Kluyveromyces lactis: one gene and its partners. The protein of the gene in region 2 interacts with the protein of the main gene of each other region in a biochemical or structural test. Links are inferred from orthologs where the notes say so. Each region holds a gene or a part of one and is shown on either strand. Other genes may lie near its edges.

Evidence for each region.
Region 1: the proteins of NIP1 (region 2) and RPG1 form a complex in vitro, tested with the Saccharomyces cerevisiae proteins (5 studies listed by BioGRID, with this or other methods). The link is inferred for Kluyveromyces lactis from reciprocal best matches to the Saccharomyces cerevisiae genes NIP1 and RPG1.
Region 3: the proteins of NIP1 (region 2) and TIF5 form a complex in vitro, tested with the Saccharomyces cerevisiae proteins (6 studies listed by BioGRID). The link is inferred for Kluyveromyces lactis from reciprocal best matches to the Saccharomyces cerevisiae genes NIP1 and TIF5.

The regions. Positions count from the first base shown.
Region 1 is NC_006039.1:1,266,388-1,270,334, forward strand, and holds RPG1 (translation initiation factor eIF3 core subunit a), read right to left. Parts: upstream 2,801-3,947; coding exon 23-2,800; downstream 1-22. Other genes in the region: AAA family ATPase SEC18, read right to left, coding at 3,118-3,947.
Region 2 is NC_006042.1:279,793-284,272, reverse strand, and holds NIP1 (translation initiation factor eIF3 core subunit c), read left to right. Parts: upstream 1-1,658; coding exon 1,659-4,118; downstream 4,119-4,480. Other genes in the region: BGL2 (glucan 1,3-beta-glucosidase), read left to right, coding at 1-769. UniProt on the Saccharomyces cerevisiae protein: Component of the eukaryotic translation initiation factor 3 (eIF-3) complex, which is involved in protein synthesis of a specialized repertoire of mRNAs and, together with other initiation factors, stimulates binding of mRNA and methionyl-tRNAi to the 40S ribosome.
Region 3 is NC_006041.1:551,952-555,037, forward strand, and holds TIF5 (translation initiation factor eIF5), read right to left. Parts: upstream 1,932-3,086; coding exon 735-1,931; downstream 1-734. Other genes in the region: BIR1 (survivin), read right to left, coding at 1-160; EMC2 (Emc2p), read left to right, coding at 2,462-3,086. UniProt on the Saccharomyces cerevisiae protein: Catalyzes the hydrolysis of GTP bound to the 40S ribosomal initiation complex (40S.mRNA.Met-tRNA[F].eIF-2.GTP) with the subsequent joining of a 60S ribosomal subunit resulting in the release of eIF-2 and the guanine nucleotide.

The DNA of each region.
Region 1 (3,947 bases), on a different chromosome or scaffold from region 2:
TCTGAATGAGATATGCAAGATATTAACCTCTTCCAGCATTCATTCTCTTCAGTCTCAACTTTTCAGCCATAGACATTGGTTTATTGGATACCGGAGCAGTTTGTGCTGGTGCTGGTGCTGGGGTTGGAGTAGAAGGAACAGGGCTAGATCTAGAGCTACCGTTCTTCTTTTCAAGAAGTTCTTCGATTTCTCTTTGCTTTCTAGCAATTTCGTCTCTTTCCTTGTTGATTCTTTCACGTTCGGCACGTCTCTTGGCAAGTTCTTCCTCCTTAGCCAAAGCCTCCTTTTCAGCAGCTTCAGCTTCAATTGCAGCTTGTATTTCAGCAACTTTAGCTTCATAACGTTCCTTACGGACTTGTTCAATTCTTTGCTTCTTAGCTTCTTCTAATTGAGCTTCCTTCAAGGCGCGTTGTTTTTCTAACTCTTCCTTCTTTTCAGCGATAACAGATGACTTGTATTGGTTGAAAGTACTGTAGATTTTGTTCAAACGTTGATGTAGAGCCAATTTCTTTTCATAGTCGGCCTTGGAAGTCTCAATTAACTTCTTCTTGAAATTGTCGTAATTCTCTCTATCCCTCTTTTTTTGCTCTTCAGCGTCCTTTTCTAACAATGGCAATTCCATTTGTCTATAGGCTCTTTCCAGGTGATCTAACTTCTTGAAGGCATAGGTCATACGTTCAGTCAAATCCTTCTTGTTCTTGGCTACTTGTTCAATGACCATTTGGTTGATCTTATCACTTGTTAGGTTCTTGGCTTCCTTTGGATCAATATGAATGACACCATTGGCATTAGTTTCAGCAATCAACTTCTTCATTTCTTGTTCATGGATCGCTTCTCTCTCACGTTCCATCATTTCTTCAGCACGACGTTCCGCTTCTTTCTCCATAGAAGATTCAACAGCAGCCTTTTCCTCAGCCATACGTCTTTGCCTTTCTTCTAGAGCCTTCTTGGCAAGAATCTTGTTTTCTTCTTCGCTTCTCTTCTTGCGTTCAGCGTTACTCTTAGCTCTAATTTCAGCAGCTTCCTTTTCTAACTTGATAACTTCTTCCTTTCTTCTGATCAATTCTTCACGCACAAGTTTGACTCTGTAATAGTAAGAACCATTTTCGTATTCTTCGTTGGCCTTTAAGATCTTGGATAGATCAGTCAACTTAGAACGGACTTCTGAGTTACGAGTGAAGACTTGTTCATTCTGTTCCTCATCAGCATGCGTTTCTTGGGAGGTTTCCTCTTCGGATTCAGAGTTCTTTGCTTCATCAGAAGTGCTAGATTCGGGAACTTCAACAAGAGATGCTTGCCAAGCGTCAAATGGATCTTGGGCAAATGAAACGGTATCAGTTTCATGGTCAATGGAAATACTAACATAATCATCCATAGCAGCTTGGATTAAGTATTTTTCTAGTTCAAAAACAGATAATTCGAAAGGAGCTGGCAGTGACAACATTTCATGCAATTCAACTAAGTGAATAGATGTTTGAGCCTTTGAGACTTCAATGATGGATCTTCTGATGAATAGGTTTCTCAATGGAGCCACGTATTGGGCGAAATATGGCTTTTCAACCAAGTTTGGCAAAAGTGCAGACAATTGAGACTTAGCAGACTTCACATCGAAATTAGTTTCCAATATATTGAAGAATTTCAAAATATCAGCGTCAGCTTTCTCTACGACTTGTTGTTCACCAGCAGCAGTAATCAAATCCTTTCTCTTTGGTTTACTTTCAAGGTCTAGTAAGTCACATAGACGAATTTGAGGATCGAAACCAGCAATTGGTAAGTCATCCAATTGAATTGCCAAAGCGGACAAGACAAATTGAGATGAATAGAACTTAAAGTCTTCTTCGGAAGCATTTGGATTCTTCAAGTACAAATTGTAGAATTTTTCCCATGCAGCAGCGTGCAATAAATAGTTACCAGAGACAAAGAAGATCTTGGCCAAATTTTCGTAGTAGTTGGCCAACACAGAGGGCTTTGGAGCACGCTTCGAGAGACGCATCAAATGATGAACATCTTCAATGGATCTGAAAGCTTCATGCCATAATTCCAATTTAACAGAAACGTTAACTTGTTGGAAACGTTGGTCAGAATAACGTTGCAAAGTGTCAGGATCTGATAAATCGACAGTGTGGTGACCATATCTCTGTTGTTGGTAGTTTGCGGCATCCAAATGTTGACGTAACATTTCAGCTAAACGCTTGAATTCATTCTTACGGTTATATTTGTAACAGAATTGCATGGTTCTGTTAACAACACCCGCATACGTGATTTCCAATTGAGAATTATTTCTCAAGAAATCTAGAGTGGTACGGTAAGATTCCCAGGTAAATCTCAACCAAGCTGAAACATCATCATTGTTGAATCCACCAACAGTTTGTTCTTGTTCGTAAACAGAAACCAACAAATTTTCTGGGGTGACACCACCCTCTAGATCCTCTTCGGCTTGGTCCTTGTTGGATTCTTCTTTGGCATCAGTTTGCGCTTGGATGTTGGTCATCTTAGTTTCGATCAAATCGATGAATTTACGAGCAACAGCACCTACAGAAATCAAACCTTCGGGAGTGTGTTGCATATGCTTCTTGTATTGGTATAAACCTTCCTTGATCATTTTACCCTTCCTCAATTCAACACCAAGTTCCAAGAACTTGAAGATTATAGGTTCCAAAGTGGCAGCATCAGCAAAACGAGACCTTCTTGAAGATAATAAATCAAATAGAGATTGCAACGCAGCCATTGGCTCGCCAACAGAGACTAATTCGTCAGCTCTTCTAATGGCATTCTCAGGACGTAAAGCCGGTGGAGCCATGATGAAATGCTAGTATAATCGATGGGTCGAGAACGGTTGTTATCTACCCTTTCTAAATCAGAGACTAGATCCAAGTATATATCTTTATTTTGCAAGGTGCAATAGGAAGAAGTTTCACATAAATAGACTGAAAAGTTTTTTTTCACTTATTCTCTTTGATCTTCAACGGAAGCATGCTGAAAAATTTCAACCTTCATCAAAAGTTGATATCATTGAGAACGAAGTTGAAGTTTATGTGCTATGTCGCGAGTACATATCACATATGTATAATATATATATATATATAAATGTATCATATTAGAAATGAATAGTATAATTCAAGATGATTGCACCATTAGATCAACAAGTTCATTGACGGGATCCTCATCGTGTCTTGCTGTTTCAATGTTTGTGAGTACTTTTTTCACGCCGACGTTGAGAGTAGATGTAACTTGGGATAATTTGCGGATAACTTCGACTCTACCAGCATCGTCAAGAAATCCGGAATCTGTCATAATGTTATTCAGTTCATCTAGGTTTGATACGTTTGGGACAGCAATTTCGTTGTCGAAACAACTTAGTATATCCATTTGCTTAAGCACCGTGTAAGCGGACGTAGTAGAGATGATAAGCAAACGACGATTATTTGGAGGTTTTCTTTTCAAATAGACCTTGAGTACTTGTAGGATATTATTAGAGAACCTTGGACCAATTGGAACCCAGTCAACTAGAGTCTCTATCGAATCGATAACTAGAATGTTAAGTGGCGATTTGTAAGCATCTCTGAAGGTATTGTCGATGTATGCGATCTTGGCCGTTTCCGACATACCTGCTATTTCTTCAGGGGAAATTAATCTAACAAATGGGAACTCAGACTTCAATGCAATGGCGGCAGCTAAGGCAGTTTTTCCTGAACCTGGAGGACCATGCACTAGTAAGGATACTAGTCTTGATTTGTCTGACTCTCTCACTTGACGGACGTATCTAGCACCGTTTTTCAAAATGTCGTCTACGGAGTTGGAGAACCTAAAGACTCCACCTTCTACGCAAGTCTTCAAATCTTCTTCACTAACACCAAACGCAGGAGTCACTTCATCTAACGCATTCAAGAAATCTTGTCTAGTCACCTTCATGTTTGCAATGTCTTTGGTTTTTAGTTTGGTTGCCC
Region 2 (4,480 bases):
GGTCAAAGTATATGCTGCTTCTGATTGTAACACTTTACAAATTTTGGGTCCTGCTGCAGAAGAAGCCGGATTTACCATTTTCTTGGGTATTTGGCCAACTGATTCTGCTCATTTCGAAGAAGAAAAGCAAGCTTTGACTCAATACTTGCCATGGATCAAAACTTCTACCATCGAAGCCTTCTTGGTTGGTTCCGAAGCTTTGTACCGTGAAGATATGACTGCTTCTGAATTGGCAGATGCTATCTCTGATGTCAAGGACTACATTAAAGACATCAAGGATTCCGATGGTAACTCTTACAGTGGCAAGCAAGTCGGTACTGTTGACTCATGGAACGTTTTGGTCGATGGTGGATCTGCTACCGCCATTCAAGCTGCTGACTTTGTCATGGCGAACGCCTTCTCTTACTGGCAAGGTCAAACTATGGATAATGCTTCTTACTCGTTCTTCGACGATATCATGCAAGCTCTACAAACTATCCAAACTACCAAGGGTTCTACTGACATTCAATTCTGGGTTGGTGAAACTGGCTGGCCAACCGATGGTACCAACTTTGAAAGTGCTTACCCAGGTCTAGATAACGCTAAGCAATTTTGGGCTGATGGTATTTGTGCTATGAGAGGCTGGGGTGTCAACGTTATCGTTTTCGAAGCTTTCGATGAGGACTGGAAACCAGATACTTCTGGTATTTCCGATGTTGAAAAGTACTGGGGTGTTTGGGATGCCAACAGAAACTTGAAGTTCAAGTTGGATTGTGATTTCAGCTCTTAATTTTTGAGTTGAGCTTCTCTTCTCTTTAACATACAATACAGATTGTGTGTATTTTTTTTACCCTTCCACTTTCTCATTTGATACCGGTTATAATTGTTGACTTGTTGTTTCCTTTCGTCTCCTATTAACAACTCAAAATTATACAAATGAAGCTTTCATGTCACATTTAGGTCACACATTCCTTCAGCAAATTGATCCATTCATACTTGTTACTACGGCTGTTATCTAAAGGTGATATTAACTTATTACCTACTTGAATTCTTCAAATTGCGATACTATCCATTTTAATTCCTGGACTAAAAAAAAAAAAGAACATTAAAAGAGTACTTTATATATCACAACAGCAGAACATTTTCATGAACCATAAATGTATCTATCCCGTTGTCGAAGTATGCCCACAAAACATCGATCAAGAAGGCATCGTATATGGTATGAAAGCTTCAAAATTATTTTATTTCTTAGCAACATCTATATTTCACTTTTCATATAACTAAATTAAATCGATATTATTTTATACCCTATTTATCATCGATGATTATACGCAATCACACAAAGTTAGACGTCCATTTTGGCCTAACATCAACCGGCGACAGACTCCCACTTCACTTTGTTCTTTGCAATGGTACATTCATTTATCATTACCCGGCTACCAATCGTGTTCCATGATTATTTGAAAATTTTCACAAATTTTCACTCAGTGAAAGCTCATCTCAAAAGAAAATCTGAAAGGTTTGAAATCGAATTAATAGATGAAATTCAGTTGAGACGTGTAATAAGCAATACTTTTCAATTGTAGGTTGGAATCACCAGGTCGTAACAGGGAGACTAGGTTGAGATTAGTACGTGGTATTAAGGAAATAGAACAACGTTAAGCGATAGTCCATTCATCATGTCCCGTTTTTTTTTGAAGACATATGAGTACGATTCAACGTCTTCTGGTGAAGAAGAAGACTTGTTATCTCAAAGTGAAGAGGATTTAGTTTCATCCTCCAGTGAGGAAGAATTATCTGATGACTCTTTCTTCAACGACTCTGATGAGAGTTCCGATAATGATGAAGACAATGATTCTGATAGCAAACCCTACGGCCCTGACTGGTTCAAGAAGCCAGAATTCAGAAAAGGTGGTGGTTCAGGTGCTAACAAGTTCTTGAAATCTACCAACTATTCATCTGATGAAGACTCATCCGACGAAGAAGATGGTAAGAAGGTTGTGAAGTCAGCAAAAGAGAAGTTGTTGGATGAAATGAAATCTATTTACCAAAAAATTGATTCCGCAGAAGCCCAACAAGATTGGGAATCATTATTAAACCATTTGGAAACCATTTTGAAATTATACACAAAAGCCCAACAACAAAACTACGGTACACCTAATATCTTTGTGAAGTCATTGGCTAGATTTGAAGATGCGGTATCTGCTACTTCTCAGGATGAAATTAAGAATAAGGCAGTTGCAAGAGCTTATAACACCACCAAGCAAAGAGTTAAGAAGTTAATCAGAGAAAACGAAACCTCCGTTAAGGCTTACAGAGAAAACCCAGAGGACTTTGACAAGGAACCTGTCTTAGATGCTGATATAGACTCAAGAGATGTCTCTGCTACTCCATTCTCCTTGAGTGGTAAGAAGAATTTAGACTTGGCATCCGTGGCAAATAACATTTCTGAGCTAGACTTTTTCAAGACGTTGAATATTATCATCGATTCTAGAGGTAAGAAAAACACTGACCACACAGAACAAATTAAAACCACCGAAGAACTATTGAAGATTGCCAAGACTCCATATGAAAAGATCTGTACATACTTGAACTTGATTCCAATCAGATTCGATGCATCTGTATCCTTATCATACCAACCACTAGAACAATGGAAAGCATCAAAGGATAACTTGGATGGTTTATTGGAAGTGCTGGAACAAGAGATCGACCACTATCAAGTTACTGAATTTGCCCCAAGAAATGATTTCATTGAAGATGAACCAGAAGCTAATGAGCATGGTGTCAAGGAAATTTTGGGTTCTATCTTCTCTATGGTTGAAAGATTGGACGATGAATTTAGCAAATCCCTTTTGAACATTGACACTCGTTCCAGTGAATACATGGAACGTTTGAGAGATGAACAATCTATTTACAATTTGATTATCAGATCCCAATTGTACTTTGAACGTGTAACTGCAGAAGAACACCGCGATAGACTTTTGGCCCGTGTCTTCAACAGAAGACTTGAACATATCTACTACAAGTCCGACAAGCTCATCTCTATTATGGAAACCGTTGCATGGAAACAAATTCGTGAAGGAACTGCGTCCCTTGAATCCTCTTTCGTTCGTTTGAATGAATCAGATTCCGCAGATGCCGATTACAACTTCAAGGTCATCTCTGAATTGTCCGATTTCTTAATTAAACAAAAGAGTAACAACGTGTTCAACTACAGAAAAGGTACCTTGTACAAAACATATTATATTGCATTGAACCAAGAATACGCTCCAGCAAAGAAAATAATGCTTTCTTCCGATATTGCTAAATTCATTTCAGGCTCTGATGCAGCATTACAAATTTTGTACAATAGATGTGTTATTCAACTTGGTTTGGCTGCATTTAAGGCTGGTTTAATAAATGAATGTCACCAAGTTTTGAACGGTCTTTGTATTAATCCACATCTAAGAGAAATTTTGGGTCAACAAAGTTTACAAAGAGCTAATGCGAACAGCAATGTCGTGCAGGGTGCCCCTGTTGAACAATTATGTCTTCCTTTCCATCAACACATCAACTTGGATCTAATTGACACCGTCTACATGACATGTTCTTTATTACTTGATGTGCCTCACATGGCAGCTTATTACAGCGGTATTAAGGTCAAGAGAATCCCAGTTTTCCAAAAATCTATCCGCCGTATTCTAGAGAGTTCAGAGAAAGCTATTTTCCATGGTCCTCCAGAAACTCTAAGAGATCACATTCTTTATGCTGCAAAGTCAATGCAAAAGGGTGATTACTTACAATCGATCGAATATTTGAGGAAAATTTCTGTGTGGTCTTTGTTGAGTAAATCTGATGATATCATCAACCAACTAAGTGAAAAGGTTCAAATTGAAACTTTGAAAACTTACATTTTCACTTACAAGAGATTCTACTCTAAAATATCCATTTCTAAATTATCGAAATTGTTTGATCTTGATATCGAAAAGGTTTTGGCTGTAGCACAAAACATCATCAATGATTACGAAGTTAAAGCCAAATTGGATGAAAATAACGAATACATTATCTTCGAAAGAGGCGAAGAAATCACAAAGTTAGAAGAAGTTGCCATCAAGTTAGTTAAAGAAACCAAGTACCACTCTGAACGTTTACGCCAGTAAACATTTTCATTCTTCGTTCAGCAGATAAGGTCAGTTTCTAATTGTAGCACTCACCTTCCATACACATAACAAAATTTGCTCTTCCTTCTTTTGTTCACTTACCGTGCGCATATTAATAGACAGAGTCGTTGGCAAAGAACCTTTGTTTTAGCATTTGCAATAAATACTAGTATTTGTACATTATCGATAATATATAACATAGTTCTCACTGTAGGCAATTACGTAGTTTTTGAAATCAATTAATTGAATTTTGGAGACATATAACATCTCGAACATTGACTCGTAACAATACAGTTTATGCGCTGGTTCATTCTATATATATATGTATATGATACACATTTATGGACAAATGTATGTTATCA
Region 3 (3,086 bases), on a different chromosome or scaffold from region 2:
CTAATTCAACCGGTACAACAGGTTTAGTTCTCGGTCTACCACGTTTACGCTTTTCTGCTTTGGGCAATTTAGGCGTGTTCAAAGAGCCTATTTGCTGCAAACTCGATTCCTCTGACAGGAATGAAAGATCCATTGCAGACGAGAGGTTGGAATCATTCATTGTTACAGTACGCCATAGAAATCAAACCTACAGATCATTCATGTAATGAAACCGTCTGATGAAAGTGTATTTTTACTCTTCTTCCAACAAGATTCGCACCCTATTCTTCTCTTTTGACAGGACCTAGTATTCTTCTTGTCCATTCAGGATGTAAATATGATTTGATCTCAAATTGTGTCTTCTTTTTCCACGAAAGTGTAAACAAAAGAGAGAAAAGGATCATCACAGCTGAATATTGAAAGACAATAAATAGGTTATAAGAAGACAAGGGCAGGTCGGCACGGCGCACCTATCAGTGCCATTCTTGAGCCGCTAATGATGTATGCGCAAGGTCATGAATGTATTAAACATATGCGTATATATGATAGTATACATACAGTATTTTACAGAGCTAAAGGATAAATATTGAAGAGATTTAGTTCGCTCTTGATAAAATGAAAATGATATTTATTCTGTTAATGCAAAACAAGGAGATGGTTAGGATGATAAATAGAAAACGAAACACCGAAAAATCTGGTTAAAATTTGAATAGTATTTGAACTTTGACCATTTTCTTATAAGATCATGATTTTCTTTATTCCGAATCCTCATCATCTTCTTCGGCAGTTTTCAACCAAGTGATGAATGGCTTGGCAGCTCTACGAACCTTCTTAGAAACATCCTTTGGTACAAACTTCTTAGAGCATTTGGTACCGAAGCTGATAATCTCTTCTTCGGAAATGATGTCGTTGTTGTATAATTGGACCAAGATCTTTGGTAGTAATGGGATCAATTCTTGGTGATCAAGTCCAAGGAATCTTTCAATACCACCCAAAAAGTTCTTTTCGAAGTCTTCGTCCTTCAATAATTTTTGCAAGAACGCAGTATGTTCAGAGATATCCGATACGATATCTTCATCGAAAAGAACTTGGGCCAGAACTGCAGCAACCTTTGGATCTTCCAGAAGCTCGAGTTCTGCAATCTTTTTGTATAATTCAATATCGGTAGGTAGTTCTTCTTCATGTAGTACCCATTCACCAAATTCTTCCAACTTGGAGAATTCGCCAGTTTCTTTGTCAGCTTCACCTTGTAATTCTTTCGCACGAGCTCTGATGGCTTCTTCAGACATATCAACGGCCCAGTCCTCATCCTTGACTTCAATGGTAGCCAAGTTAGAGGCAGCGGCATTAATTTGTCTGGCCAATTCATCATCATCGGAATCGTTTTCTTCGGCATCGTCACCAGCTTCAGCTTGGGATTTACCTTGAGCGATATCACTAATAGAAAGACCACCACCTCTGACATTAGCAGACGCAGTGGCAGCCTTCTTCTTTTTCTTGGAACCGTTCATACTGTCAGGAGGGTTCTTTAAGACGAACGAGGACAACTTATGTCTCAAATCCATAGGGGTTCTCTTACCACAAGCTTTACAGTCTCTAACCAAATCACCATCTTTAGTGATAACAATTTCAGTTTCAGGATTCTTACAGGATCCACAAAGGACAAACTTAGTGATGAAACCATCCAATACGTCCTGTAATTTGGCTGGTTGATGAGCACCATTGACAATGTAACGATCATTTTCAACATTGATAGCAGTTTGGGCACCCAATTCAAACCCGAAATATTTGATGATGTATGGAGCTGGTCTGTTTAAAGCACGGGCAACATCCATGGTATTCATAACAACAGTTTTGATACCATTACCTCTACCTTCAATCTTAGCCTGAATTGGAGGCATTTTATAACGGTAGAAAGGGTCATTGTTGTCTCTGCAAATATTGATTGACATCTTCGGCTACTGTTACTAATCTCTAGTCACTTGTTTCTGCTACCACCGTGTCTTTGACGTTCTTCAAGTCTGGAAAACACAAAAACTTTTAAAAGTAAGTTCGAACTGATCCTGTATTGGACTGTAAAACGGGGTCATTAACGCCTTCTTGAATCATGTATATGGAAGAAGTTCATCTCATCTCTTAGAAGTTCAACTTCAACTCTTCGCGTGTGGCAATCAGATACTGAGGCCTTGATTCCTGAAAAATTTTCGTCGTTTATGGTGATATGAAAATACATGTCGAAACGGAGCATGTGTCACGTGCTTTAGCTCCAACGATTCATTTGGCTCTGTGATTGTTTAAGCATCGGTTCTGTAAGAGACATATTACAGGGTATAACATGGGTGAGATACGTATGGTGGTGTTAAATGTTTGAATACCTTCAATACAATTACTGCTCGTGGAATTTAGTGAGTAATTTACTGTGTTGAAATTGTGCTCGAATCTCACATACATCTTAGGGTCGAAATCTAACTTTGTTCATATCATGGATTTACTTAAGAACAAATTACTGGCAATCCATAAGACTGGCGCATGGGCCATTCTGCCACCTAAAGAAATTGATTTGGCTTATAAGGAAACGAAACTTTTGATAGATGCTGGGTTAAATGGGCTTGACGAAATTAGTTATTTCTCAATGGTCGAATTATTGTTTTATCTTTGTCTTGTTCGTGGTGAAGACACAGAGGCTGAAACATTGTACAAAACTGTGACAGATCGTCTAGGTGACGATTCTCCAAGAATTCATGTGATGCACTCTATGTTAATACAGGTCACTCGATCCGATGATGCGGCTAAGAAATATATCGAGGATTTGATCAAGAATCAGCTGGAAATAGCTACTGATTCAGAAGACTACGTACAGATGAAGAAAAGGCTACTTGCGATAGAGAGACCTTCGATGAGTAAAGAAAAATGGGTAAAAGAACTACTGGATCTGGTTGAGAAGTTTCCTCTAGATGCAGAAATATGGTCGTTACTTTCGCAAGAATACCAGGAGGCTGGGGACCTACGTCAAGCAATATATTGCATGGAAGAAGTCATAATTGGGGTGCCGTTCAGTTATGAAGCATTTGGTCAATTAGCTTATTTGCATTACTTGAAGTCTCAAT